Linked DNA regions of Sus scrofa. The main gene of each other region encodes a partner of the protein of the gene in region 4 in a complex. Links are inferred from orthologs where the notes say so. Each region holds a gene or a part of one and is shown on either strand. Other genes may lie near its edges. The genes, in order: SNRPF, DLG4, SNRPD3, CRIPT, SNW1, RBMX2 and CRNKL1.

The links.
Region 1: CRIPT (region 4) and SNRPF share a complex: the UniProt entries of both Homo sapiens proteins name them as parts of the minor spliceosome. The link is inferred for Sus scrofa from reciprocal best matches to the Homo sapiens genes CRIPT and SNRPF.
Region 2: the proteins of CRIPT (region 4) and DLG4 are in contact, whole or in part, in a crystal structure (PDB 5HED), measured with the Rattus norvegicus proteins. The link is inferred for Sus scrofa from reciprocal best matches to the Homo sapiens genes CRIPT and DLG4. Residues at the interface, in NP_063972.1 of Rattus norvegicus: Lys94, Asn95, Tyr96, Lys97, Gln98, Ser100, Val101; in NP_062567.1 of Rattus norvegicus: Gly322, Leu323, Gly324, Phe325, Asn326, Ile327, Val328, Gly329, Gly330, Glu331, Asp332, Glu334, Ser339, His372, Glu373, Ala376, Leu379, Lys380, Arg399, Phe400.
Region 3: CRIPT (region 4) and SNRPD3 share a complex: the UniProt entries of both Homo sapiens proteins name them as parts of the minor spliceosome. The link is inferred for Sus scrofa from reciprocal best matches to the Homo sapiens genes CRIPT and SNRPD3.
Region 5: CRIPT (region 4) and SNW1 share a complex: the UniProt entries of both Homo sapiens proteins name them as parts of the minor spliceosome. The link is inferred for Sus scrofa from reciprocal best matches to the Homo sapiens genes CRIPT and SNW1.
Region 6: CRIPT (region 4) and RBMX2 share a complex: the UniProt entries of both Homo sapiens proteins name them as parts of the minor spliceosome. The link is inferred for Sus scrofa from reciprocal best matches to the Homo sapiens genes CRIPT and RBMX2.
Region 7: CRIPT (region 4) and CRNKL1 share a complex: the UniProt entries of both Homo sapiens proteins name them as parts of the minor spliceosome. The link is inferred for Sus scrofa from reciprocal best matches to the Homo sapiens genes CRIPT and CRNKL1.

What each region holds. Positions count from the first base shown.
Region 1 is NC_010447.5:87,619,846-87,624,277, reverse strand, and holds the start of SNRPF (small nuclear ribonucleoprotein F), read left to right. Parts: upstream 1-1,414; 5' UTR 1,415-1,538; coding exon 1,539-1,541; intron 1,542-3,391; coding exon 3,392-3,517; intron 3,518-4,432. UniProt on the Homo sapiens protein: Plays a role in pre-mRNA splicing as a core component of the spliceosomal U1, U2, U4 and U5 small nuclear ribonucleoproteins (snRNPs), the building blocks of the spliceosome.
Region 2 is NC_010454.4:52,571,133-52,575,482, reverse strand, and holds the start of DLG4 (disks large homolog 4), read left to right. Parts: upstream 1-1,539; 5' UTR 1,540-1,927; coding exon 1,928-1,957; exon of another isoform or gene 1,958-1,962; intron 1,963-4,350. UniProt on the Homo sapiens protein: Postsynaptic scaffolding protein that plays a critical role in synaptogenesis and synaptic plasticity by providing a platform for the postsynaptic clustering of crucial synaptic proteins.
Region 3 is NC_010456.5:49,595,321-49,598,642, forward strand, and holds the end of SNRPD3 (small nuclear ribonucleoprotein Sm D3), read left to right. Parts: intron 1-531; coding exon 532-724; intron 725-2,462; coding exon 2,463-2,524; 3' UTR 2,525-2,695; downstream 2,696-3,322. UniProt on the Homo sapiens protein: Plays a role in pre-mRNA splicing as a core component of the spliceosomal U1, U2, U4 and U5 small nuclear ribonucleoproteins (snRNPs), the building blocks of the spliceosome.
Region 4 is NC_010445.4:93,915,810-93,919,602, reverse strand, and holds part of CRIPT (cysteine-rich PDZ-binding protein), read left to right. Parts: intron 1-1,880; coding exon 1,881-1,984; intron 1,985-2,292; coding exon 2,293-2,357; 3' UTR 2,358-3,793. UniProt on the Homo sapiens protein: As a component of the minor spliceosome, involved in the splicing of U12-type introns in pre-mRNAs. Involved in the cytoskeletal anchoring of DLG4 in excitatory synapses.
Region 5 is NC_010449.5:100,746,415-100,750,997, reverse strand, and holds the start of SNW1 (SNW domain-containing protein 1), read left to right. Parts: upstream 1-1,583; 5' UTR 1,584-1,673; coding exon 1,674-1,687; intron 1,688-4,583. UniProt on the Homo sapiens protein: Involved in pre-mRNA splicing as component of the spliceosome. As a component of the minor spliceosome, involved in the splicing of U12-type introns in pre-mRNAs.
Region 6 is NC_010461.5:106,879,455-106,883,872, forward strand, and holds the start of RBMX2 (RNA binding motif protein, X-linked 2), read left to right. Parts: upstream 1-1,457; 5' UTR 1,458-1,492; coding exon 1,493-1,497; intron 1,498-1,691; coding exon 1,692-1,807; intron 1,808-4,418. UniProt on the Homo sapiens protein: Involved in pre-mRNA splicing as component of the activated spliceosome. As a component of the minor spliceosome, involved in the splicing of U12-type introns in pre-mRNAs.
Region 7 is NC_010459.5:28,105,368-28,109,160, reverse strand, and holds part of CRNKL1 (crooked neck-like protein 1), read left to right. Parts: intron 1-609; coding exon 610-701; intron 702-1,513; coding exon 1,514-1,672; intron 1,673-2,402; coding exon 2,403-2,569; intron 2,570-3,793. UniProt on the Homo sapiens protein: Involved in pre-mRNA splicing process. As a component of the minor spliceosome, involved in the splicing of U12-type introns in pre-mRNAs.

The DNA.
Region 1 (4,432 bases), on a different chromosome or scaffold from region 4:
AAATTAAGATCTACCAAACCCTTACATAGCCAAGGATAGTTCCAGCCTCTTTCACATTAATTACTATCTCACAGCCTTGCAGATAGAACTGTTTTTAAAGCCACATGAAACTGAGGAAGCAAACGCCTTCGGGAGTTAAGAAACTGCCCAATACCATTCCCACGTGATAGACGTTCTAAACTCAGACTGCCTCTAAAGTCTTAGCCACTACTCCACAATACCGCAACATTTAAATCTCAATTTTTTCTTCTTTCTTCTTATTTGTCTTTTTGTCTTTTCAAGGGCCGCTGCCGTAGCATATGGAGGTTCCCAGGCTAGGGGTCTAATCCGAGCTATTGCTACCGGCCTACACCACAGCCACAGCAATGTAGGATCGCAGCCGGATTGTGACCTACACCACAGCTCACGGCAACGCCGGACCCTTAACCTCCTTAACCCGCTGAGCAAGGCCAGGGATAGAACCCGCAACCTCATGGTTCCTAGTCGGATTTGTTAACCACTGAGCCACGACGGGAACTCCATAAATTTCAATTTCAAATTCAACTCCTTAGGGCTGCAAAAACAAAAAACAAAAAAGAAAAAAAAATTTTTTTAAAAGAATGTATATATGTGTATGATTGTGTCATTTTGCTGTACAACAGAAACTGGCACAATGTTGTAATTCAGCTATACTGAATTTATATGCAATTTATTTATAATATATATTACATGTATATAAATTTATATCCAAAATGTTTTAGATATATATATATTTGAAAAAAATAAATCCAGTATGAGGACTGTAGTGGGCCTCTGCTCGCAAAGCACAAGAAACAGGTGGACCGGGAGGCCACCACACCGTATTTTAGTCTCTGTCTGACCTCATCTGAAAAATATTCTGCAGTTGACTTTCTTCCGGTGCGTTTCACCTCCTTAAGTCTATCTAGTCTTGCTTCTTCCACTTCCTCTGAGATGGGGTGAAATGAGCACTACAGAATAGAGAGCCATCAGGTAGAACGGGACTGTGGCAGAGGAGTCCCCATGGCTCAGGATCTGTGGGAAAATGAAGAAGAAACTTGAGAGCCCCGAGCTCGTTTTCCCAGGTGTGCAAAGCCAAAGGAAACTCCACCAGCCAAGTTGGCGAGAAATCACGTCCATTCTGCAGGACAGACAGCAAACCCTCGAGGCAGGCGAGCAAACAGGCAACTCGAGCCACCTCTCTGCCTTTGCAGTGCCGCAGGTATCAGACCCATGCTGCTGAAGGTTTCCTATTTCCTGCCCCCGCCGGGAAGGCGCTCGGAAACTCGAGCCTGCTGGTTGCCAGGAGACAGGCCCCAGTCACTTCCGCCAATCAGCACGCATCTTTTTGCATCCAATCACAGAAGCCGGAAGAGCCGTAGTCGGAGGGGAAAGGTCACGCTGCTATTTGGCGGCCATTTCTCTGGAAGCTTGGTGGCTGGGAAGTTGCTGTAGCCAACTCCAGTCCACGAGGGCCGGACGGCGCTGAGTCGGCGGCGGGTAGTCTGCAGCATCTGCCCACTACAGCAGCAGTAGTCGCGATGGTAAGGAGAAAGAGAAGGTCAGAGTCGCCCGTGTGGGGGAGAGAGAGAGAGAGAGAGGGCGGGAGGGCGGGTGACCAGCTTCGCCGGGCCTTCGCGCGTTTCCCATTCATCCGCGTGAGGCCCCGCGCAGCCTGTGGCCAGCCCCTTTCTGCCAGTTCTGGGTGTCTGACGCACGCCCTCCTTCCCCTCCCTAGGAATGTCCCCTTCCCCCTCTTCTTCGTTTGAATCTGAGCCTGAGCTGCTCTTGCTGCCTGGGACCACAGAGTTGGAGTAAAGATGAAGCGGTTTTTCACGTACAGCTTACAGCACTCCAAAATCCGCTTTTGTCTGGTGATGCTGGGAAGCCCTGCAGCCCTTTGGAATACTGAGCCCGAGCTTTGAGCATTCATTTGTTCTCTTAGCAAATTTTTACTGAGCTCCTGCTACCTGTCAGGTGTGTTCTAGGAACTAGGACTATAGGGCGAGAAGTACTGGTGTGGCCCCTGCTCCAGTTTAAGTCGGTGTGAGAGAGAGAGAGACATTGATCAAATAACGACAAATACATAATTTCAAATAAAGTTAGTGCTAAGGAGGAAGCACACAGGATGCTATGAGGGGGTACCATGCTACGTTAGAAGTGTTTAAGGATGGCATCTTTGGGAGAAGGGATTTAACCTGAAACTTAAACGATATGAAATACACACCCTTAAAGAGGCGGAAGAGTGTATACACCAAGCTCAGGAAACATGAGCATAGACTCTGAGCCTCGAAAGAAAGCCTGACCAGTTGGAGGAATTGAGAGAAAGCCACAGCTGCTTGCTAGGATGGAGTGTTGGGCAAGTATTAGGCAGTTTTAGGAGGTCTGAGTTCTACTCCCGGGTCTACTTTGGAAAGCCATCAAAACATTTTAGGTAGAGATATGATGTGATAAAAAATACTTGCCGTGTGGCTAATAAATTGGAGAAAGAAAAGAGTGAAGACCATAGAACTATTTGAGATCACTCTGAGTATGCTTATCCTAGAGGGGTTTAGTAGCCAAGTTTCTTGGTTCTTTTCTCTCTTTGGGTGGATGGGCCAACAGATGAAGGAAGGGGGAAAAGTCTGAATTCGTTGGAGATACTGTTGCATTTGCTGAATAAACAAACATTAAGTGATTGATTGCCTATATGTAGGAGTCACTGCTAAGTCAAATAAGATCCAGGCCTACCTTTTCATAGTGAGAGACTCAATTATGATCTGCCCCTGCCTCTTCAGTAACTTCATACAAAACTAACTTTTATGTCCCTGAGATCACCTTGCCGAGTCATTCTTCCCTCCTTTTGCATAGGTAGCCTCCTCTGCCTAGAATAGCCTCTTTCCCTCTGGAAATATCTGTCATCCTTTAAAACAGGCATTTACTTACTTCAGGCAACTCTTCCATTTCTCTTAACACTGGATTGTTTGGTATCATGTAATAGCATTCTCCTCTTACTACATTACAAAGTAATTGCCCACTCGTGTATGTTTTGACCCTTCCCTCCCACTGTAGGTCTCTTAAGGACAGGGACTGTCATCTGCCTTTTTTTTTTTTTTTCTTTTTTTTCTATTGCCTTTTCCTTGGTTTCATTATATTTTTGGAACAGTGAGTGAATGTTTCTTAAGTGAACATTGAATAAGTCTTGATGGGGTTGATGAAATTGACTGGCTGGATATTTCTTTGAAGTTCTTCCACAAATAAAAGTGAAAATTATGTAATAACGTGAGATGGAGTCAAGAGTTTGCTTCATTTGGATACCACAGCATATTGGTAATTTGGCAGAAAAGAGTAGGTAATAGAAACCAAGCTAAAGAAACTTATTCAGTTGGGTTCTTTTTTTGTTTTTGTTTTGCAGAGTTTGCCTCTCAATCCCAAACCTTTCCTCAATGGGTTAACAGGGAAGCCAGTGATGGTGAAACTTAAGTGGGGAATGGAGTACAAAGGCTACCTGGTGTCTGTAGATGGCTATATGAATATGCAGGTAAGTGGAAGAGTTATGAAGATCATTAGATTGTATTTATTTTTCTTCATGTGACTTCTCAAAGGTTTGGTGTGACTTACAGGGATATAATTAATTGACAAACAAAGCAAAATTAAGGGGTCAAATCAAGGCTAAGGAGGATGTTATAATTTGATGAACTTTGTATGAGACATATTAAAAATTCAGCCACAGGAGTTCCCCGTCGTGGCGCAGTGGTTAACGGGCCCGACTAGAAACCATGAGGTTGCGGGTTCGGTCCCTGCCCTTGCTCAGTGGGTTAAGGATCGGGCGTTGCCGTGAGCTGTGGTGTAGGTTGCAGACGCGGCTCAGATCCCGCGTTGCTGTGGCTCTGGCGTAGGCCGGTGGCTGTGGCTCCGATTCAACCCCTAGCCTGGGAACCTCCATATGCCGCGGGAGCGGCCCAAGAAATAGCAACAACAACAACAACAACAAAAAGACAAAAGACAAAAAAAAAAAAAAAATTCAGCCACAGATTTGATTCCCAGGTGGTTAAAAGTAAGAAGAGCTCAGGCGTTTGATTCACAATGTCATAAGAAAAATATACTGATTTGTGGGGAAAGCAAAACATCCCAGCACTTGGTCCGAGAGAACCTTTTCCAGTGAAATTCGTGTCTTTTGATAAATGCTAAATGTACAAATCTAAGTAATTTGATAGAAGCAGTTCTTAAGAGAGAAGACAGACCAAAGGAATTGATGAACTGACTGTATCCGATAAACTAGTTCTGTAAATGTTTGAGCCAGGTTTTTTGTTTTTTGTTTTTAATAATGGTAAAATATATATATAACATAAAATTTACCACTTTAACCATTTTTAAGTGTGCAACTCAGTGGCATTAACTACATTCATATTGTGCATTCATCACCATTATCCATTTGGGAAGTGAAACTCTGTAT
Region 2 (4,350 bases), on a different chromosome or scaffold from region 4:
TCACACAAACATGTTTAACCCTGGGTCCAGAAGTCCCAGATAATTTATGCCCCTTTGCCATTCTCACGGGGGCCAGGCCCAGAAGAGAGTGACAGTTTCCTTTCCTTTTGAGCTGTGGGAGCAGCTGACCCCCTTGCCCAGTCTTCAGGAAAGTGGAGGGGTCACACCTGGCTTTGGGGAGGGGCCAGGGTGTGAGGAGGAAGATGGTGATGGTGGTGGCACAGCGGGCGGGTCGGAGGCTGCCTGCTTTGCCTGGCAGGTCCAGCTGGGTCGGGAGGAGGCAGCTCAGCTCCTCTGACCCTGGGGGGATTAGAGAGATTAAAGTGAGAGAAGAGAGAGATGTCCGAGGGACCCAGAGGTGAAAAACAGGAGTCCTTGTGAAGGAGAGGCCTGGGGGGAGAGGGTGGGCCTGGGGGTCCTTGTCCTGGACCTCTCCAGAGAGTCTGGGGTGAGAGAGCAGAGATAAGAGGCGGAGGTGAATGTGTTGGCGCCTCGTGGCTGGCTCCCTTGTCCCAATCCTCCCTCATTTGCATTTCACCAGCTCCCAGGTCAGCCCTCTGGCTCCTGGCCCCCCCACTATTGCGATGGGCACCCCCTCTCCTCACGGTGCTGCACAGTGACCTCTTCCAGGCCTTGCTGGGTGAGTAGCCCCGATTTTCCGAGGGGCAGCCGTGGAAAGGGCTGGCCTGGGGGCTGCTTGGGAGTCTGGAGATCTTTTGGTAGCTGCAGGAGCCCCAGGCAGGGGTCCTCCATCAGCGTCCACCAGCCCGGGCTGGAGGGGTTCCTCCCTTAGCGGGCAGACGGAGGTGAGGTGATGGCAGGGGCGGCCAGAGAGGCAGGGGGTGGGCGAGGTAACTCGGTGGTTCTGTTCCTGTGACAGACATCCTGGACTATTATGAGGCTTCCATCTCAGAGAGCCAGGTAAGGGGGTGAGGGTGGGGGCCCGACTTCCCGAGGGAGCAGGCAGGGCTGGAGGGGTGCGCAAAGCACTGCTACTATTACCCTGAGACTTGGGGGCCCTGGGACCACGGCCGGAGTCAGGCGCCCCTGCAGCCCCCTCTTCACCTGCCCCAGCTGCAGGCCCCAAAGGGTCCAGGACTCAGTCACTCTTGAGGCTTCCTCCTGTGCGTCTGAGGGAGCTGAGGCCCCCAGGGACTCCCTCGTGCCTGGCCCTCCCTCCCTGCCTGCCCCGAGCACAGCCTCTCTCCAGCGGCCCCGCCACCCTGGCGGCTCCCAGCCCATCTCGGGCTGCTTCCTCCTCCCTGGCTCTGCTGTCAGCGCTGGTGGCTCTGGCCAGGCCTCCATGTTGGCCTCAGGGCCTCTCCGCTCCTGCCTCCATCTCCTTTCCCATTATCCGGGTTCCTGCCAGCGCGGAAGGAGTTAAGCCTGCCAAGGCACCCCCCATTCTGCTCCTCGATCGCTCCCTCCCTCCCCCTGCTTCCTCTCTCCTCCTCTCTCCCCTTCCCTCCTCGGCTCCACGGCTCCCTCGGCCGCTGCCGCCTCCGACCCCCCCACCCCACTCCCCCGCCACGGCCCCGAGCCCCTGGCCGTTAGGCAAGACCCCCCCTTACCCCGGGGCTCCCCGAAATCCAGCTCCCCTCCCCCACCTCAGCTCATGCCCCAGCCCCCGAACTCCGGGGCTGCCAGCCCCCGGTGCCCCCGCCCCTCCTGAGAATCGGGGTGTGCTCCCCAAGCCCCCTCCCCTCCACTGGGGACCCCCTTTTAGGGCCCCCTTCCCCTCCCTCCCACGCTCCCCTCCCCTCCCCTTCTCCAACCCCCTCTTTCCCCTCTCACCCCTCCCCCCATCCTGGCCCCCCCTGCAAAAGTGGGGTGCGGAGGGGGGAGGGGTGAGAACCCAGGGAGGGGAGGAACGAAACTCCGATGAAGTCAGAGCCCCTTACCCGCCGCCGCGGCCAGGCCCCCCAACATGGACTGTCTCTGTATAGTGACAACCAAGGTAAGCCGTGATGGGGGGGCCAGTCACCTGGGGGGAGGGTGAGAGTTTGTGGGGAGGGGTTTGTCAGGCCTAATCTGCCGCCCGGGGGCCCTGGCGTGAGAGCATCCGAAGATGGATTTGGGGGTCATAATTTAGTTTGGGGGTTCACGGCTGAGAAAATGCTGGGTTTGGCCACAGGTGCCCCCTGGAGTGATCCCTTTGTACCTGGGGAGAAATGGAAAATAGGGGGTATTCTGTGACTTGGGGGCTGGTGGATTCTGAGCTTCACCAGTGATGTTTGAGGGAGACTTATTTAAGGAGAAGCCTGGCTCACATGGGAGTCCTGCCCGGTGTGTGTTAGAAGAGGGGCTCTGCGTGGGGGGTCCCCTTCTCCCCTGGGAGACAAACTGGTCTGCAGGTGTCTTGTCCAATTTCAGGGGGGCTCCTGGCTTGGGGGTAGGAGGTTACTGGTTGTGAGGGCCTGACTGGTCTGGGGGTGTCAGCTGGCACGGAAGGGGAAGGCCTTCAGGTTATAGAAGAAGCGTCTCGTGGTAGATACATTTGGGGGTGCTCTCATTTTGGGGGAGCAGTTAATTTAGGGTTCCAGCTTACGGAATGGGGATAGTTGGGAGTTGTCAGCGAGCTAGGGCCTGACATAGGATCACCTGAGGGAAGGGACCAGGTGAGGTTAGGATTGGGGGTGCTCCCTTGGGTGGTGGAAGGTTGCAGCAGCTGAGGCTGGCAGCTCCTGAGGAGGAGGAGGAGGAGAGGTTTGGGGAGAGAGGGGATTTGAGGAGGGGGACCAGGTGCATGGTGCAGAATTTGGGGGTGGCCCAGGCAGATGCCCATCACCCCCATCTCCTCCCACACAATATCTACCCCTGGTTGAGAAAGAGGGAGAAGAGCAGGTGGAGGGGATGTTCCTGTTACCCCTGACCCTTGGGATAAAGGTGGGGGAGGACACCTGGATTTAAGGTTACTGGGGTGAGAAGGAGTCAGAGGAGGGCCGGGCTGGCAGCCGGGAAGATCCGTACAAGGCTATCCCTGTGGTTGGAGTGCCAGAGATCCTGGCTGGCAGAGCTAGCAAGCTCCTGGTGGGATGCAGAATACCCTGGTCTTGGCTCTAGGACTCTGGGACTGGGAGGCTGGATGCCTGGTGTGTGGAGGGAGGCTTGGGCGGGTGGCAGGCAGCTGGGGGTTGGGGGGTGGGACAGGAAGTGGGGGCCGGGGAGGCGGGGTCTGGGTGAGTCACAGGCTGGGGAGGGGGTTATATTTAGTGGGAACTGCAGATTCTCAGGGGAGGGAGCTGAGGACACACATGTTCCCTGCCACAAACTCACACATGTGTGTACACATGCGTCTATACATGCCTCGCTCATGTGTGAGCTTGGACAGAGGCGACTGGGAGCGGAGGACCTTTAGGTCCCAGCCCCGACCCCCTCTCCAGAGCTACTTGCTTATCCCCTGTTCTGCGGGCTTTGGGCTTTCTCCCATGCTGCTGCTTCCTCTCATCCCCTGTAGTTTCCGTGGATTTTTGTGCCTCAGTTTCTCTGGGCTGCTCTCCTTTAATGTCTGTCTGATCCTCAGTTTCCCCGGTGGTCTCCTGCCCGTAGCCTGCCCCTTAGCCTTAGGCTCCCTGGCTCTAGTCCCTTATGTGCAGGTGTATACGGAAAGCCAGTTGGAATGTGTGGGCTCTGCTTCCAACACGTGAACACACATATGCCAGCGAGGGTGAGGGGCTTGCCTGCACTGGCAGCTATTCTGGGACGGGGGGTGGGGGGGTTATTCGTCTTCCTTCAAGAACCCTGCTTCTTCGATGGAGCCCAGGGTTGAGCATTCCCGAAGGAAGGAGTCTTACGCAGAGAGGATCATGCATTTTGGGGCTTTTACAGAGGCGTGGAGACCCAGGCTTGCCACATTCCTTGGCCGCAAAACTTGTCTGTCTCGGGATGGCGGGGACTTCAAGTCCCACAAGGCCTTGAGGCACAAGTTCCCTCAGTGTTAGAGGGTTGCTGCCCGTGGGGCTGTTGGGACTTGTGGTTCATCTCTATTCAGGGCAGCGCAGGGTTAGCCTAGGAGGAGCCAGCAGGGGGCACATGGCACTTGTCCGTCCCCCCCCAAATGCTGGGTGGGGTAGAGGGTGCTCATGCTTTGCGGTCGTTGAGCTTCCCAGCTCCATCTGAGTCCTCCATCTTTCACTGCCTATATTTAGACTCCTGCCGCAGTAATTTAAGGAACATTTATTGATTGCTTACTCTGTGCCGGACCCTATGCATTGTGCTCGCTCTGCCTCTACAGCTATCACTTAGTCTTACTCCGTGCCTATCTCTCTGCCGGTGTCTCTCTGTCTCTGAACATCTCTCTCTCCCACTCCGCCCCCGTCCCTCCCTCTTCTCCCCGCGCTGCTGCCGCCG
Region 3 (3,322 bases), on a different chromosome or scaffold from region 4:
GATGATAGCACTCAGGCCAGGCCAGCGGGTTCAAATTGGGAGTCCCTGCGTTTTATGTTTAAAAATGGGACTTCTCAGAGTTCCATTTATGGCTTAGTAGAAACGAATCTGACCAGCATCCATGAGGACACAGGTTCAGTCCCTGGCTTCGCTTAGTGGGTTAAGGATCTAATGTTGCTGTGAGCTCTGATGTAGGTCACAGACATGGCTCAGATCCGATGTTGCTGTGGCTGTGACGTAGACCAGTGGCTACAGCTCTGATTGAACCCCTAGCCTGGGAACCTCCATATGCCATGGGTGCAGCCCTAAAAAAGACAGAAAAAGGGAGGGAGGGGACTCTGCTACTATGAGTAGTACCATATATGTAAAGCGCTCAGCACAGTAGGTGCCCTTGAGTCTGCCCAGCTTTATTTTGTGGTGCCAGTTTCTGTATTTCTGGACTCCCCTTCCACTAGCCGAGGTTTGTCTTCCATGGGCACTATTCTCTGCTGGCACTGTTGGCCCTTCCTCACCAGCTGGTATTCCTTCCAGATGTCTAACATCACAGTCACATACAGAGACGGCCGAGTGGCGCAGCTGGAGCAGGTGTATATCCGTGGCAGCAAGATCCGCTTTCTGATTCTGCCTGACATGCTGAAAAACGCACCCATGTTAAAGAGCATGAAAAATAAAAACCAAGGCTCAGGAGCCGGTCGGGGAAAAGCTGCTATTCTGAAGGCCCAAGGTAGGTGCTCCTCTTGCACTGGTTGTGACATGTGAGTGTGTCCTGTACCTTTTACGAATGGGCCTTGTTATTGCTGAGGTGTGGGTGACCTGACTTCAGTGTCTCCACACCCACTGCCACCTGATCCTGTTCACAGGCTTATGCAAAATCCCAGGCGGCTCCTTGGAAAAAAGATGAGGACTTAAATGAAAGAGCAAATGTGTCCTGTAATGAGTCTTGGAGGCCTTTTGTTTTTGGAAATTCTGGGGAAAGTTGGCCCTGGTCCAGTTTGCTGAGCAGAGGCCCCTTGCAGTGTGACTTCTAAAAGCAATGGGGTAATAGTTTCTCAAGAGGCTGGGGGTGTCTACTGATTCCCAGCATCAATAGGGGAAATGTGGAGGGAATCCATTTTCAGATGAGAAGGAATTGTGAGCCATCTTTTTACCCATTCATTAAAGGGGGCCGAACTTACATTTTTGAAGCTTCTTAATGTTTGAAAACAGTCCTTCCTTTATAGTGCATTTGGAAAGACTAGTCTCTTCCTGGTTACTTGGTCTGACCTTTTTTCTGGGTTAGCCTAATCAGTTTTATATTTGGGTCCTGAAAAGCTCTGCTCCCCCTATTGATTAGCTAAGAAAGCCAGTGCAGTCATTAGGAGCAGTCTTAGTGTTGATGAGAAGATTCCAGTGCAGAAAGGTCACTGGATTCCCACCTCACTGTCTTCAGCTGCTATACATTTGTTCTATGTGAGGCAGCTTTTGAATTCAAAGACCCAGCAGAGTAATCCTTTAAAATGCCCTCCAGAAAGCTGATCAGACAGTCTCCTTGCCCTTCCTAGATGAGCAGTGGTCATAGGGAGATAGAACTAGAAGCTCAGGACCTTTTGTCCTGAAGAAGCAGTGATTTTCAGAAGTGCCAGCTTTGTGCTAGAACTGCTGTTCTCTCTGCAGGGGAGGGCTGCCCTCGTTGTCACTAACTGTACCAGCTTCCCTAGCAAAAGACACTGGGAGGCACTTGGCAGTGGCCCCCTGACTGCCACCTGAGCCTCTGTGCCGCTCCCATCCCCTTGCTATGGTCCTCCCAGCTAGTGGCCAGGCTCTCACAGGGCTTCCCTCTTCTGGTCAGCTCCGGGCTCTATGAGAGGAGGTGGGGGCAGTTAGTTGCCATCAGATATTTTCACTTGTTCTTCAAAGGAGTGGCCCTTCCTAGAACCCATGGGTCACAGAGACAGCAGTCTTGTTGAGCCCTGTATATGGGGAGTGGTTTTTGTTTTTTGTCTATGTTTTTTTCCTTCCTATTATGAAACATTTCACACATGCAAAATAGCTCAGAAAATAATAAAAACCCTCACCCAGATTCAATAGATGTTAACATTTAATATGTTTGTTTCACAATTTTAAGTGTGAATTAAATGCATCTGTCATGTTTTATTAGCTCACCCTGGGCCAGCTCTGAGACTTAAGCTTCTCTGTGGTTCCTAGACTGGCTTCATAAAACACCTTCGCTCTCAGGACTTGGGCTCTCATGGGGACCAGTGCTGGGTTGGAAGGTGGGAGGCCTTCCAGTTCTGATGCCAGACACTGGTCTCCTCCCAGGGTCTCCATTCCTCCATGCCCAACCCCCATGAAATGTGATAGGGCAGACGTGGTGCTGGACCGGGTGGCCTTTCAAGCCCCTTCCTGGGCCGATGTCTTGGGGTGCTGGCTGCTCTTGGCGGAGGACTCACTGACCTGGCCTTGTCCTCTTCCTTACCTTTCAGTGGCTGCGAGAGGGAGAGGACGTGGAATGGGCCGTGGAAACATTTTCCAGAAGCGAAGATAAATTTATCTGTTGGACAGAACTTTGCCCTCATGTTTTCTTTAGGTTATCTGGTTGTGAGGCAGGAAGGTGTGTGCTGGTGTATATGTCCTAGGTTATTTGGCATCTTTTTCTTTAGATCAGGGGAAATGCTACACTAAATAAATTTTTTTTTTTTCTTTTTGAGGATACAAAGACTGTGTTCCTTTTGGAGTTTTTTGTTGTTTGCTTTGGCAGCAGGTTAAACTTTGACACCCTGAGATGTCCTGGGGAAATGCCAGTAGTGGTTATTGATAAGCGAATGCAAGCTGCTGTTCCAGGCTGGTTGCTAGTTAAGCCCTTGGAACAGCTCCAAAAACATAGATGGCCTCACCATCCTTAGACACAGGCACTTACACGGTGTTTGTGAACATCATGACACACGTGGTCCTGGCCTGTGAAACCCTGGTGGCATTCAAAAAAGTAATCAGTATCGAGAGGTAGTTCAGAGAACCTCAAGACTCCTGTACAGCTTCATATGTAGTGTTATGACAGGGGACAGGTTCTTGGCACTTTACCGGAGCACCTCAGGGTTGACTGGCACAGCTGAGGTTCTTAACATAGCGAAGGTAAGTAGAGAGGTCAGGGTGTGCAGAGCAGGTAGCTGACCAAGAACATAGAAACTGGATCCATGGCTTGGAGTGGTCACACACTAAAAAGAGGTCCTACTGGGGTGCCGAGTAGGAAGGATGCACTCCAGCAGAAAAGGGGTTGAGTATCCGCCCTTAGAACGTTGCTCATTGAACAAATTGTTGAAGTGCTGGAGGAAGAGAAAGAAGCAAG
Region 4 (3,793 bases):
AGGCATAACCCTCCCAGACTTCAAACAATTCTACAAAGGTGCAGTAATCAAAATAGCATGGTATTGTCAAAAAACAGACAAATGGATCAATGAAACAGAATAACAAGCCTAGAAATAAACCCACATACCTATGGTCAATTAGTCTTTGACAGAGGAGGCAAAAATATACAGTGGGAAAAAGACATTCTCTTTAGCGAGTGGTATTGGGAAGGTTGGACAGCTGCTTATAAATCATTGAAGTTAGAACACACACACTCACCATACACGACGACAAACTTGAAATGGCTTAAAGGCTTAAATATGAGACATGATCCCATAAAACTCCTAGAAGAGATCATAGGCAAAACATTCTCTGACATAAATCATACCAGTGTTTTCTGAGATGAGTCTCCCAAGGCATAGAAATAAAAACAAAAAAGAAACAAATGGGGCCTAATCAAACTTACAAGCTTTTGCACAGCAAAAAAAAAAAAAAAAAAAAAAAAAAAAAAAAACCATAAGCAAAATGAAAAAACAACCTGCAGAGTGGCAGAAAATATTTGCAAATGATGTGACTAACATGGGCTTAATTTCCAAAATATACAAACAGCTCATTCAACTCAACAATGATATAAGAAACTACCCAATCGGAAAATGGACAGAAGACTGCAGAGACATTTCTCCAAAGAAGAAATAAAAATGGCCAATAGGCACATTAAAAAATGCTCAACATCACTAAATATTAGAGAAATGCAAATCAAAATTATAAGGAGATACCACCACACATTAGTTAGAATGGCCATCATTAATAAGTCTACAAATAGCAAGTGCTGGAGAGGGTGTGGAGAAAAGGGAACCTTCCTACACTGTTGGTGAAGATGTAAATTGGTACAACCCAACCACTGTGGAAAACAGTATGGAGTTTCCTCAGAAAACTAAGGATAGAGTGGGATCTAGCAATCCCACTCCTGGGCATGTAGCCATACAACTGTAATTCAAAAAGATACAAGCATCTCAATGTTCATAGCAGCACTATTTACAATAGCCAAGACATGGAAGCAGTCTAAATGTCCATTGATAGGTGAGTGTATACAGCCATAAATTCAATGGAATACTACTCAGCCATAAAAAAAAATGAAATGCCCTTTGCAGCAACATGGATCAACTAGAGATAATCATACTCAGTGAAGTTAAGTCAGAAAGAGAAGGACAAATACCATATGATAGCGCTTGTATGTGGAATCTAAAATATAACACAAACAGGAGTTCCCTGGTGACCTAGTGGTTAGGATTCGACACTTTAATTGCTGCGGCCCAAGTCACTCCCTGGTCTGTGAACTGAGATCCTCACATCAGGCTGCTGCATGCTGCTGCCAAATAAATAAATTAATAAATTATATATGACGCAAATGAACCTGTCTACAAAACAGAAATAGACTCAGGACAAGGAGAACAGACTTGTGGTTGCCAAGGAAGAGGGGGTTAGGAAAGGGAGTGGGAGGTTAGGGTTAGCAGTTGTAAGCTATTTTACTTGGAGGAGATAAATAACAAGATCCTACTGTATAGAACAGAGGACTATATTCGATAGCCTATGGTAAACCATAATGGAAAAGAATATTAAAAAGAGGAGTTTGTGTGTGTGTGTGTGTGTGTGTGAGTATCTGTATGTATATATACACACACATATATATAGCTGAATCACTTTATGTACAGCAGAAATTAAGACATTGTAAATCAACTTTATTTCGTAAATAAGAGAGTGGCCAGCTAGAAGAGTGCTATAACTATCAACAATAGAGTTCGATAGAAGAACAGAGAGCATGGATTAATCATATGTGTTGCTTAAGTGAAATTTAAGTGTCTTTATTATACATTTTTCTTTCTTAAAAAATAACCTTTAGATTTGACCCATATGGAAAGAATAAGTTCTCCACTTGCAGAATTTGTAAAAGTTCTGTGCACCAGCCGGGTTCTCATTACTGCCAGGGCTGTGCTTACAAAAAGGGTGAGTCTTTTAATACCATTTTTGTATTCATATCAAACCTACTTCTTTTGATATTGATTTTGATAACATAGTAAAGGAGTAGCCCATCATAAATCCTGTTAGTCAAATGCTCTTTTTTCTAAGACAAAATTGAAACTTAGAACTTGTAGTTAAAAGTATATATTTTATTTTTCCCTTTTCTGATGTTGTTAAATTATATTTTAAGCTTCAGGAACAACTTAAATTGTTGGTATTAGCTACTTAAATTGTTGGTATTGGTGTCATTAGTTATCATTTGATTGCTTACATGTGTTGTTTGTTTGTTTTAGGCATCTGCGCTATGTGTGGAAAAAAGGTTTTGGATACCAAAAACTACAAACAAACGTCTGTCTAAATGTATTGAAGTATCTACTTTCCATATGATTTACTTTTTGCTTTGAATTTTCAAGGTATAACATAGATATTCAATTTACAAAATAACATGCCTTTAGATAATTACGTTTAAACCAGGGAAGTAGATGGGTATTCATTCTTTTGCTCTCAAGAAGTTCTGAATGGCAACAGTATAAAGTTTTCTGCCTAAAGGTTTTATTTTCCTTACAAATATCTTACTGAACTGGAATAAGTGATAAATTAACAAAAAAAATATTTTCCCAGTTCTGTATGCACTTTTTATTTATCATTACTCATATAATTTTTATTATCTTTTTTTCTACTTTATATGTAGATCTTGAAAAAGTGAGAAGGAGGTTATTAATATTGGCTTTGAACTTGGCATTTAGATTTGTAATTCTTCACTCATCCCCTTTTTATTCATATAGTTCTTAGGGTCAGCAGTCCCTTAATTAATTGTGGCTTCATAGAGCATTTAAATATCTGAGACCATTGTTGCTAAATAGTTCCTAAGTGATTAGCTCAGACCCAAATCAAACAAAAGTTGTATTTGTGGTATTTTTGATTTGTTCTTGAAGCCAAAGTGCCAGTACCTTTCACATGAGAACAGGAACACAAGGGATACCCTCTATGTGTCCACATCAACACACTGGATTTGAGAAAAACACGTATTACACATTACCTTGAATTCAGACCATCATGAAAGCCAAGAGAACAGTGTGCATCTATCATGATAGATCACAATCCTTTGGGAAAGTGCTTTGAAGTAGAAACTAAACTTTTTTTTTCTTACTTCCTCTCCTTTTCCACCCCCCCCCCCGCCAAATAAATAGACTAAGCAAACATTTTTATTTTTATTTATTTATTTATTTATTTTGTTTTTTGCTTTTTAGGGCCACACTCTGGCACATGGAGGTTCCCAGGCTAGGGGTCGAATCGGAGCTACAGCTGCTGGCCTGCACCAGAGCCACAGCAATGCGGGATCCGAGCTGTGTCTGTGACCTACACCACAGCTCACAGCAACACCCAGATCCTTAACCCACTGAGCGAGGCCAGGGATCAAACTCACAACCTCGTGGTTCCTAGTTGGATTCGTTTCCGCTATACCACAACGGGAACTTCTAAGCAAGTTAAATATATGTAACATAGATTGCTAAAAGACTACTTTGAGGTTTCAAGGATTTTTCCTATGTTGCCTTCAGAGGCACAGGACTTTTGCTTTTGAAACCTGTTAACTTACTGTGGGAGACAGAAAAAAGTATTCCCCATTGCCAAGTACAGTATAAATACATATCACTATCAAATGTGTAGAGGAGATAACATGATGCTACACATGGTATAGATGGCACATTTTTATTTGTTTTAAAATTATTATAGAAAGTATTTAAAGTTTTAACTGTTTAAGTTATCTATAAGTTCCACCACCCAAAGGTCATC
Region 5 (4,583 bases), on a different chromosome or scaffold from region 4:
CAGAAACTATTATCATTAGGCATATCTTTAGTCATCATATTAGAAAAGTTTATTATGAAACCATTATATATATACATATATAACATAAGATAAAGCAAATGAGTAATTATCTTAACACATTAGGTACCAATACCATCATCTTCAGAAGAGATATGCATATAAAATCAAAGTTAGGTAAAATCTGTGTAATCCTAATCTTGCATTGGAACTATTAGTATGAATGCATGATGGAGTTTCTCAAAAAGTATGATTGGGAGTTCCCGTGGTGGCGCCGTGGTTAACGAATCCGACTAGGAACCATGAGGTTGCGGGTTCGGTCCCTGCCCTTGCTCAGTGGGTTAACGATCCAGCGTTGCCGTGAGCTGTGGTGTAGGTCGCAGACGCGGCTCGGATCCCACGTTGCTGTGGCTCTGGCGTAGACTGGTGGCTACGGCTCCGATTAGACTCCTAGCCTGGGAACCTCCATATGCCGCAAGAGCGGCCTCAAAAATGGCAAAAAAAAAAAAAAAGTATGTGGATATGTGAACTTTCTAGCTCTGTCCACTGAAAAGGTTTACAAACAGCAATTGCCCAGTAACAGTGAGCATTTGTAGCATCCAGGTCTTTTTCTCTAAATATCACTTTTCCACTTAAAGGAAAGCTCCTTGGAAAAATGACTGATTGAAAGTCTAGGGCAGAAAAAGTACTAAACTAGCCTAGAACGTCGTGTCACACCAGAAATCAAGAGTTGGAGGTGGAGTTGGAGGTGGTGTTGCTGCCTCTGCTCATACTACGGTGTTTGGTTTGTGAATATTCAAACTATACACTTCTGTAGGCAACGTTTCTGTATGTGTGCTATGCTACTATTAAAAGTTTGTTTCTATACCATGGAAAGTTTCCAACGTATAAAAAAGTAGAGAGAATTGTATAAGGAACACCATTTCCCCATTATCTAGCTTCAACAGTGATTAAAATTCATAGCTAACCTTGTTTCATTTACAGTATATTCCATCCACCTCCCTCTTCCCACTGTGAAGATTTCGTTTATCCTATCACTTCATCAAAGACTATGTTGAACCCACAAACTATGTAAAAGACAATCTAAGCCATACATACATAAAGACATACATACATAATACACCTAAGGAGTGTTCCAAAGATAATTACTAAGGATCACAAAATACCTCCCCTGGAGAGTGTTTTGGAGGTGGAGTGTTACGTAGGGAACCGCGTGTAAAAACTTTTGAGTATGAAAGTTTTCAGAGCGCCCAAGAACTCTCTATTCTCCAGTCTCACAATTTCCCAACCATTTGATTTAACCCAACTCTTATTTAACGTTCCCCCCCCCGCCCCCCGAAGGCTTTTGTATTTGGAACCATAACAAAAGAAATGAGACAGAGTGGGGAATAAAAAAAGACTTAAAAAACATCTCAAATTTGTTAGTATTTTGCCTAGGGAATGCTGTATCATGTCATAGTGTAAGAGTGATGCATTTGCGTTTTCTTAACTGAAGCGCTTATTCTGTAACTGGTTAGAAAAGAACCAAATTGTAATCTTGCGCAAAGAACTACAAATCCCAGAAGGCCCTTCGGCTAGGGCGCCTGCGCATCGCGCGCTCCTTCCTCTCCCCAACCCTTCGCGGGTAAAGACCCGCCCCGCGGTACTGTCGCTCGCGCTGGAAGAAGCGGAAGAAGATGGCGCTCACCAGGTGGGTTGTTGATTGGGGTCCTCGATACGGAAGGGTCTGGGAGTACCCTCCGTTTTTATTTCTCTGTTTATAGTCTCCGGGCGGTAGCCAGGCCCGGGCCACAGAGCGACTAGGCCAAGGCTAAGCCCTCCCTCCAGCCGCCGGGACGACTAGGCCTCTCCGAAGCTGGGGTCTTTCCCGAGTGGCTTCCCGGGTTGAGTTCGCCCCCTCACTAGGGCCGAAAGCCGCGGCATGGCGAATAGTTCTCTGGTCTGAGATGCTGAGGATTCGCACGTGTTTTTCGCTTAAGCATTTTGGGGTGGTGGAGATCGCTCCTTCGGGTCCGCGGCTCGGGTGGGCGCGATGGGGGTATGGAGGGCAGTGGCTTATTTGTCTGGGCGGAGTGAGGCGGGCAGGAGGCGACGGCCGGGCCGTTTGTTTGCCGAAGTCTTTTCTTTCTCTGTCCCGAAACAAGGATTCCTTGAAAAACGGGGCCCGACACTGAACGGAGACTTCACATCAGCCACAGTAGTGGCCGCTGTCTCCTAATTCGCGCCGCTGCTCCGCACTTTAACATCGGATCTTAGCATTTCTTCCATAGATAGAACTACTTCACATTTTTGCTGTTCCCAGTTGCCTTGGCAACCGCAAGTAAAGTGGTCCCCGCCCTTAAGAAAAAGATGCTTAAGGAGAAATATTCCTAGTTGTTACGTAACTCCTACTAGTCTGCGACCTTGTTGCCCCATCTAAGAAGAAAAACTTTTCTTACCAACAAACGCCGAAACAGAAAAAGTTGGGTGTCAAACAGGGTAAGGAAAGTAGTCGTGTTAGGAGATCCGCTTGGACTCCCTAAACACGCTTCATTCCCCTCATACACATTTTTCCTGGCTGATGACAGTTAAGAATCCTAAAGATATTCGAATTAGTTCTTTGGGGGATAACTTTCGGGTGCCTTGGTCTATCCTAGGGACTGTGTATATATAGAAGGAAATCTGACAGTCCTTGGCTGCAGGGAAGATGAAGTACAGGAATATAGATATTAAAGGACAACACAGAATGCTTATTGTGTTGTACTAACCTTAATTGCAAAAAAATAAGATGGAATGGGCTAGATGAACTGGAGAGTTTTCTTTAGTAAATAAAGGTTGCAGGCAGCAAATATTCGATTGAGTGCCCTCCAGATGGGAGGCAGTGTGACAAAGACTAGTAGAATTAGGAAGAAAGGCTTTGTGGAAAAAATGGAATTTGAAAATACCAGACATATTGTGGTTATTTTGTGCTTAAAATTGCAGTGACAGAGTTCAGTCTTTAAATAGTTTGTCTTAGGAACTTACATAGCTTTCTGGTTTTGTTGAGTTTTAGCTGACTTGATTTTTAGAGATGGTCTCAAGTTTTCAGGTAAAATATTATTATCTCTAAGATCTACCAGGGATTCTTAACAGCAGGGACTTGACATATTGATGTATTACAGTCTTGGTATCACAGTTGATTGTTACTAACTAAAGATCTAAAGTCATACTGATTTAACTTTCTGAACTCCTGTATTTAAGGTTATGTATCAAATAATTTCATTTGCATTTAATACAATTTCTTTAATAAAGGGGAAAAGATAGACTAAGGTGCCTGTACAGTGGCACTGTTGACATTTTGGACTGGATATTTCGTTCTTGTCTTGGGCATATTAAGATGTTTAGCAATATCTTTGGCCTCTACTCACTAGATATCAGTGGCACCTTCACTCCCTCTCTCCCCTTTACCCCCCAAATTCTAACAATCAGAATAGCTCCAGACCTTGTCAAGTATCTACATTGTAGATAAGTTGCCCCCTGTTGAGAAACACCGAAGTAGACTTTCTGTTTACATATGCAGCCCACTCCCACTATAGAAGTGTATTTCATTATGGGAATGTCATCCTTTATGGGGAACAAGGAGATTAAGACCTTCTGGAAGGCTACGGTGTGTTCTCACCATAATCCAGGTCAGGCTACCTGTTTACTGGATTGTCCAAACTCTGCTTTGGCAGGGTGCCTGCTTTTTGATCATTTTAGTAACTAGTTCTATCAACAGTGCGTTAAGGATCCCACATTGTCACTGCTGTGGCCTTGGTTGCTGCTATGGCTCGGGTTTGATCCCTGGCCTAGGAACTTTTGTATGCCGTGGGTGGGGCCAAAAAGAAAGAAGGGGAAGGAGGGGAGGAAGAAAAGAAAAGAGAAATGAAACAAATATTTTGGCTTCTTTGTTACTGTCTTTGTATCCCTCCCATGTATTGGGTACTGCATGGTTTACCAAAAAGCCCAGAATTTTGATTCCATTCATCCATCCATTTATTCATTCACTCAGTAAATATGCATGTGTTGAAAATCCACCATGTGCAAGGCTAGTGTTGGTTTTACAGCATTGAATCAGTCTTATCCTCACAGCTTACATTCTAGGGGAGACAGACTAGGAGTAAACAAATCAATGATGCAACTTCAGGTATTAAGTACTAAGAATAAAATACAGATAAAGGGATAGAGAGTGACTCAGTGTGGAGTGGAATGCTGTTTTGGTTAAGGTGGTCATTTAGCAGCTGCGAGGGAGGTATAGTGGAGCTGGGACATGAATACTAAGAAACAAGCACTAAAAAGTTTGGGAAAGCGTTTTCTTGATAAGTAAATAGAATTTTTTATGGCAGTGGAAAAGCAAATGTAAAGATCCTGAGACGACTTGTTTAAGGAAAGGCAGTAAGGTTGTAGTGACATAAAAATGGTGAGTGCAAAGGGTAGAGTGAATTTATTTCTCTTGCCAATATTTAAGTAGGCCCAACCATGAGCTAGCTAGATAATTCCTGGAGAGTTAGGGGTGGCAGAAACAGAAGATGTGGTTCCTGCCCTCAGGTTACCCAAAGTCTAGTGAGAGAAAGAGTAAATGAGTAGAT
Region 6 (4,418 bases), on a different chromosome or scaffold from region 4:
ACCGAGGCCTAGGTATTGCTCCAATTCTCTCATTTCACAATAGCCTGAAGAATCCATCCAGATAATGCTGCATGCTAGTTTACCACTTTGCAGTGACTACTTCAACCCTACAACTAAGCAACCTAAGGTTTCTAGGAGCAGATAAAACCTGTATGCAATCTGTCACTGTTTAGTTTTCATTGCCAAGGTAATTCTACAAAGTTAATGAATAGCTGGGTTGGAAGTGGGGGAGGGGGACAGACACAAAAACTGTCATTGGTGGGCAGCCTGTTCTGCTTCTTGGGAAGACATTGGGTACATGGTGAACCATTGAGGGTACAGTTGTCACTGTCACCATCATCAAAGTGCTTTTAATTTCTGGGGCTGTGAGCTAGGCCTACACAGAGAACTATACAGCCCCATAATTTGACTTTGACATAATTTGCATGGTCTAAGGCCAGAATTGATGTGGACACATGCAAGATGGATTTGAATCTTCAGAATGGCTTAATTCACACATTACATGCCATCATCTCTTCTACAGGTTCCTGATTATTTCTGGAGTCAAATCTATCAAGCCCTGTCTCCTCAATGATATTATTAGCTCTTTGAAGGCAGAGAACCCAACCTTACATTCCCATCTGCAGACTTACTGTATAGGACAAATACAGATGCTCAGTAAGGACCGATAAATCAAGTGGATCTGATGGATAGAGACAGAGTACCATCCAAGTTATTTAACTCCTTTAAACTCAGTTTCTGCTACGAAACGGGGAGGATAATTGTATCTAAGCCTTCACAGGAGGGCCAATACATGTAAATTGCTTAGCACACAATCTATCATTACCTGCTCAACTGTTAGTTATTAATTTAACAATACCAATTCCTACCTCCTGCTTGAGTAGCAGACAGACTATGGAAAACGGTTAGCAGCATTCACACAAATCTGGGTATTCAATTCAGCCTATGGAGGCACAGTGGTCAGTTGCCTATGCGGTGCGATTTGAGACAAAAAGATTTACCCTCTCACACAGCTTTTTCACATTTCTGCTGTAACTCCTGAACAGGGATGCTTTCATGGCGGTGTGCGTGTGAGTAATTGGCTGGGAGTTAAGGACAGAATGAGGATTTGCACTGGAAGAGAAGGATGGGACTCAAGTCGCCGTTATCAGGCACCTCTCAAAGTCTTCCTTCAAAAAACATTTATAGTTAACCCAATAAATGCCAGGCATCGTTTAGGAGTTCGGAGTCCTGTAACAAACCAGGCTCGCACCCTCGTCCAACTCCAAGCACGGTGGAAGCGAGGGTCTACAGAAAAAGAGCGACATCGGCGGAACAAGAGAAGCCGCTTACTGACGTAGTGCGCAGGCGCCACGCCCCAGCGCGGCCCGGCTCTTCCGGCGCGGCGTAAGCGCGCAGCTGAGACCAATGGGCGCGCAGCGCCGGGTCGCGCATGCGTCTTGCAGCCTCTCCCGGAAGTCGCTTCCTAGGTGCTGAGGGCGAACCCGCGGAGATGAAGTAAGGCCTCAGGTTCCTTTTGGGAAAAGGGGACAGGCGGCCGGGGGTAGTTCACTGAAGCTGGAGTGGTAGAGCACTTGTGAGGCTGAGGAGCGGGGGAGGCGCAGATACTAGAAAATTAGTCTCCCAGTTTTGCTCTCCTTTACCTCAGGCTAGGCCGCGCTTACTTGTCCGCTTTTCCGCCCCTTGTGCAGCCCTTTAACTAAAGTGAAGCTGATCAACGAGCTGAATGAGCGTGAGGTCCAGCTGGGGGTGGCGGAGAAGGTGTCTTGGCACTCCGAGTACAAGGACAGCGCCTGGATCTTCCTAGGTGAGGCCCACATCTTTCTCCCGCAGGGCTTCTCATTCTCTCCTGGCCTGCCTCCTAACATTTCAGCATTCCCGCCCATCATTCCTCCCGACATTCATCACCCACTTTTATTTACTTCCACTGTCGGCCTATAAATCCGTTTTCCAGGTCGCTTTTCTAGCTCATTTCTAGTTTGCTCTCGCTGCCAAATCAGCGTTCATGATAGGTACTGCCTGCCATTCAGTGTGCTAAGAATCGTGCCGTTTGGTTTCTCAGAGACTGTTATTATCATCCTCTTGTCCTCTAGTTATACACCTAAGGAAACTGAGATGCAGAAAAGTTAATGGACTTCCTTCAGGTCGCATAGCTAGCAAGTGGAACAGCAAGAACTGTGGGGTTTGAGAACTCCTGGTATCAGCCACTATCCGGTATTACTGCCAACTCCCTCTCCCTTCATTACCCTTCACGCAGAATTTATTTCCCCGTCCATGGCCACATCATCATTTCCATATTCACTGTGTCACATTCTGTAATTTGACAGTTTATTCGAAGAGATTATTACAACAGACATTGTGCTAGGCACTTTATAGCCATTGTTTTATTTTCATTCTTATTACAATTCTGTGAGGTAAGTGCCAATATCCCCATTTTACAGATGAAGAAGGAAACATTCGTAGGGGAATTTATTTCCTATGAAATCCTTAACAATTGTGAGGTGGGGTTAATATTTTTTTTTTCCCACTGTACAGCAAGGGGATCAGGTTATCCTTACATGTATACATTACAATTACATTTTTCCCCCACCCTTTCTTCTTTTGCAACATGAGTATCTAGACAAAGTTCTCAATGCTATTCAGCAGGATCTCCTTGTAAATCTATTCTAAGTTGTGTCTGATCAGCCCAAGCTCCCGATCCCTCCCACTCCCTCCCCCTCCCATCAGGCAGTCACAAGTCTCTTCTCCAAGTCCATGGTTTTCTTTTCTGAGGAGATGTTCATTTGTGCTGGATATTAGATTCCAGTTATGAGTGATATCATATGGTATTTGTCTTTGTCTTTCTGGCTCATTTCACTCAGTATGAGATTCTCTAGTTCCATCCATGTTGCTGCAAATGGCGTTATGTCGTTCTTTTTTATGGCTGAGTAGTATTCCATTGTATTCCATAGTATTCCACATCTTCCAAATCCAATCATCTGTCGATGGACATTTGGGTTGTTTCCATGTCCTGGCTATTGTGAATAGTGCTGCAATGAACATGTGGGTGCACGTGTCTCTTTTAAGTAGAGTTTTGTCCGGATAGATGCCCAAGAGTGGGATTGCGGGGTCATATGGAAGGTCTGTGTATAGATTTCTAAGGTATCTCCAAACTGTTCTCCATAGTGGCTGTACCAGTTTACATTCCCACCAACAGTGCAGGAGGGTTCCCTTTTCTCCACAGCCCCTCCAGCACTTGTTCTTTGTGGATTTATTAATGATGGCCATTCTGACTGGTGTGAGGTGATATCTCATGGTAGTTTTGATTTGCATTTCTCTTATAATCAGCGATGTTGAGCATTTTTTCATGTGTTTGTTGGCCATCTGGATATCTTTGGAGAAATGTCTATTCAGGTCTTTTGCCCATTTTTCCATTGCTTGATTGGCTTTTTTGCTGTTGGGTTGTATAAGTTGTTTATATATTCTAGAGATTAAGCCCTTGTCGGTTGCATCATTTGAAACTATTTTCTCCCATTCTGAAAGTTGTCTTTTTGTTTTCTTTTGGGTTTCCTTTGCTGTGCAAAAGCTTTTCAGTTTGATTAGTTCCCATTGGTAAATTTTTGCTCTTATTTCTATTGCTTTGGGAGACTGACCTGAGAAAATATTCATGATGTTGATGTCAGAGAGTGTTTTGCCTATGTTTTCTTCTAGGAGTTTGATGGTGTCCTGTCTTACATTTAAGTCTTTCAGCCATTTGGAGTTTATTTTTGTGCATGGTGTGAGGGTGTGTTCTAGTTTCATTGCTTTGCATGCAGCTGTCCAGGTTTCCCAGCAATGCTTGCTGAATAGACTTTCTTTTCCCCATTTTATGTTCTTGCCTCCCTTGTCAAAGATTAATTGACCATAGGTGTCAGGGTTTATTTCCGGGTTCTCTATTCTGTTCCATTGGTCTGTCTGTCTGTTTTGATACCAGTAGCACACTGTTTTGATGACTGTGGCTTTGTAGTATTTCTTGAAGTCTGGGAGAGTTATGCCTCCTGCTTGGTTTTTGTTTCTCCAGGATTGCTTTGGCGATTCTGGGTCTTTTGTTGTTCCATATAAATGTTTGGATTGTTTGTTCTAGTTCTGTGAACAATGTCATGGGTAATTTGATAGGGATTGCATTGAATGTGTAGATTGCTTTGGGTAGTCTGGCCATTTTTACAATATTGATTTTCCCAATCCAGGAACATGGAATATCTTTCCATTTCTTTACATCTTCTTTGATTTCTTTGATTAAAGTTTTATAGTTCTCGGCATATAGGTCCTTTACCTCCTTGGTCAGGTGTATTCTGAGGTATTTGATTTTGTGAGGTACAATTTTAAAAGGTATCGTATTTTTGTATTCCTTTTCTAAAATTTCATTGCTGGTATACAGAAATGCAACTGACTTCTGAATG
Region 7 (3,793 bases), on a different chromosome or scaffold from region 4:
TGTAACCGCAGCTGAAGCCGCCGGCCTACTCCACAGCCACAGCAACACCAGATCCAAGCCGCATTTGCGACCTATACCACAGTTCATGGCAATGCCAGATCCTTAACCCACTGAGCTAGGCCAAGGATCAAACCTGAGTCCTCGTGGATGCTAGTCAGGTTCACTCACTGCTGAGCCACAATGGGAACTCCGGATGTGAGATTATTTTAAACCACTGATCCTGTTGTATCCACTTATGAAACTCAGTGAGTTATGTATGAAATTCTGAGACATTATCAAAAGGACTTAAATAGTGAAAAACATTTTCTTCTTAGGAACAAATGTAGAGAATATTAAAGTACCAGGTAGTTGTTTCAGGCAGTAAGAAAATAATTCTGCCGATTATTCTTTATATCAAAGGTTTCTTTCTTTCTTTGCATGTAGGACTTTAAAGAAACACTTGTGACTGTAACCTTCCTTAATGGGTTTTTTATTTCTTAAGGATTTGAGGATGTAATTTCTCCTAAACAACAAAATGAATAATTTTCCTAGTACAAAATTTAATAGACAAAACTTGATGTCATTTTTAGTTATTTTCCCTTTAATTTGACCCTTTTTCCCTCTTCCCAGACTTTTGAAGATAACATAAGGAAAAACAGGACTGTAATTAGTAACTGGATAAAATATGCACAATGGGAAGAAAGTCTAAAGGAGATTCAAAGGTAAGATCACTGCGCCTGTAATTGTGTACATAAAGATTCATAAGTTACCAGATACAAAAACCTAGAACGAGTTAACACACGAGTAAAAACGTGCCTGTGGCAATAATTTCCAAAGTTTGTTCCTGGAACCTGGGGTTCCTTCAGGGGGCCTAGAGGCCCCATGGTAGGACAGTCCTGGGGGGAGCTGGGGACACTCTGCAGGTGGGTCTTGCCATCAGCACACACTCTAGAGCCAGAGAAGTGCAGTTTCATCTGCTTTCTATAAATTGAGATTTTTTTGTTAATTAAAATTATTCCACTGAAAACCATTGGCCAAAATGGTGAAAATCACCACCTGACTCTTCCTCTTGTCCAGCGTGTCTTGCCCTCTCCCAGCATGCCCCCTGCCCTGGCTGTGCACCTGTGCTTGCCACTCCCTGTGCATGTCATGTTCACCTAGCTCACCCTGGCACCTGGCTCTTCTCTCCATCTGAATGAGCATCCTCCCCACCTACCTTGGCCTCTGGAACTTTCCCCAAGTTCTCACCTACCACTTAGCCTTTGCCACCAGACATTGTTGTTTCTTCCCCTTTACTTCTTCGTGCAAGACCTTGACTATAACCTTTATCATGTTGCGTTGCAATTTCATGCATGTCTGTCTTTCTCTGGGACTTTTTAAGGTTGCTGAAAACATCACATCTTTTCACCTTTTTGTGCCCAGAACCTGGCTCATGGTAAACACCTGACAAAACAGCAGAGCAGGGCAGATGGTTTCAAATAGTTGCCACATGTGTGGCATGTACTGTTTCTGACATCCTCCAAATCTTCTCAAGGGCTCGGTCCATATACGAACGTGCTTTAGACGTGGACTATCGGAATATCACACTCTGGCTGAAATATGCAGAGATGGAAATGAAGAATCGCCAGGTCAACCATGCCCGGAATATCTGGGACCGGGCCATAACAACTCTGCCTCGAGTCAACCAGTTCTGGTGAGTTTCTGACCTAAGGAATGCCTTTTTAGCCTACAAAGTTCCATGTTTCTGTGTATTTATTTTATTTACATAGTTGTATGTATTTAATTTTATATGCTACTTTTTCTTTAAACATCCTGTCAGTACTTCCTTAGTGTCTCTTAGTCTTTTAAGTCATAACTATGATGTATAATGGCTGTGTAATCAAAATTAAATTTCAGCTTCTATCTTTTTTTTTTTTTTTTTGGTCTTTTCTAGGGCCACACCTGCAGCATATGGAGGTTCCTAGGCTAGGGGTCTAATCGGAGCTGTAACCAGCAGCCTACGCCACAGCCAGAACAACATGGGATCCGAGCCGTGCCTGCGACCTCCACCAAAGCTCATGGCAACACCAGATCCTTAACCCGCTGAGCAAGGCCAGGGATTGAACCCGAAACCTCAGGGTTCCTAGTTGGATTCGTTAACCACTGAACCACGACGGGAACTCCCTCAGTTGCTGTCTTTTATGCATAAGAAATCTCTTGTTGAACTAAGTGATTTTTGAGAAAAAATACTCTTTTTTCCCGATGATTTATCCTTTTTCAGATTTATATTTTAATAAGGAAACATGTTTGATTTAACCTTAGGGAAGAGAAAACCCTAAATCTTCTTTATTTTTAATAAAGTCAGAGCTAGAAATTGCCAAAGACCGTTGATTGCCCTAAGACATTTTGACGGTGGTAGCTAACTTTGGATGTTTTTGTTAAAGGTACAAGTACACATACATGGAGGAGATGCTGGGGAACATTGCCGGGGCCCGGCAGGTGTTCGAGCGCTGGATGGAGTGGCAGCCTGAGGAGCAGGCCTGGCACTCCTACATCAACTTCGAGCTGAGATACAAAGAGGTGGACCGGGCCCGCACCATTTATGAGCGATATATCCTCTGCATACGTCTGTGTTGTGCCGTTACTGTCCCTGTGCTGCATCCCTCTGGGGCTGTCCTGGTGGGGATACACTGGGTCATTGATGTTGGCCTAGATGTCAACATCTGCTTCAAGCTTCCTGTGTATTTTTAGGGACATAGGTGGGTCAGGTAAAAACTTGTGATCTGATCAGTCGCATCTTTTTCCATTGAGACTTTGGTTTGTTTCTCCTTTGGTCTTAAGGCTGTGGTCCTTGTGAAAGATGGCATACTAAGGACCTGGCTGCTGCAGCCAGTCCTCGTTTGTTCTTGGTATATGTTGGTCATTAGCACTGTCCCTCTAGTCTATTCAGGACTTCACATTGACTGACTGTGTGACCTCAGTGAGTCGGTTAACGCCACTGAGCCTTAGTGTCCTCATCTTGAATTTGGTTTTTGTTTTTCGTTTTTTGTTTTTATGTCTTTTTAGGGCCGCACCCATGGCATATGGAGGTTCCCAGGCTAGGGGTCGAATCGGAGCTGTAGCCGTTGGCCTATACCACAGCCACAGCAACGCCAGATCGAAGCCACGTCTGTGACCTTTGCCATACCTCGTGGCACCACCAGATCCTTAACCCACTGATCGAGGCCAGCGATCGAACATTTGTCCTCGTGGATGCTAGTCAGATTCCTTTCCACTGAGCCACGATGGGAACTCCTGTGTCCTCATCTTGAAAAGGGAACTGTGAGTTCCTGTGGTGGCTGACTGTGAAGAGTAGATGGTAACACAGGCAAGCACCATCAGCTGAAGGAGTTGGTTCTCGTTGTTCTCTGTTCTCTCAGCTGTGGATTCTCTTGCTAAAATTTATTTGTAATCCCCGAATCAGTATTCATGGTATTTCAGCAGTCATTCGAGGACAATCTCAGTGTAATGAAAAGTTTGAATCACCCAAGGCACATGGTCCCTGTTGAGGACAAGCAAGATGACCATCTGCCTTCTTGGGTCTGCTCACCTGCAGAGGTGACCAGGGCAGGGGACAGAAAGGGCCATGCAAGGTAGAGCCAGGCGCTCGGGCACTGGGGCCATCTGGACAGGGCTGAATCCTCTTTCTGGCACCACTTAGTGGGTGGCCTGAGGCAAGTCATTTAACACTTCTGAGCCTTGTTTTCCCTTTTATAAAATAAAAGAGAATCTACCAACAGTAGTTGTTTATAGGATATAAGATCACAACCTTTGTGAGATATGGTATTTATACATT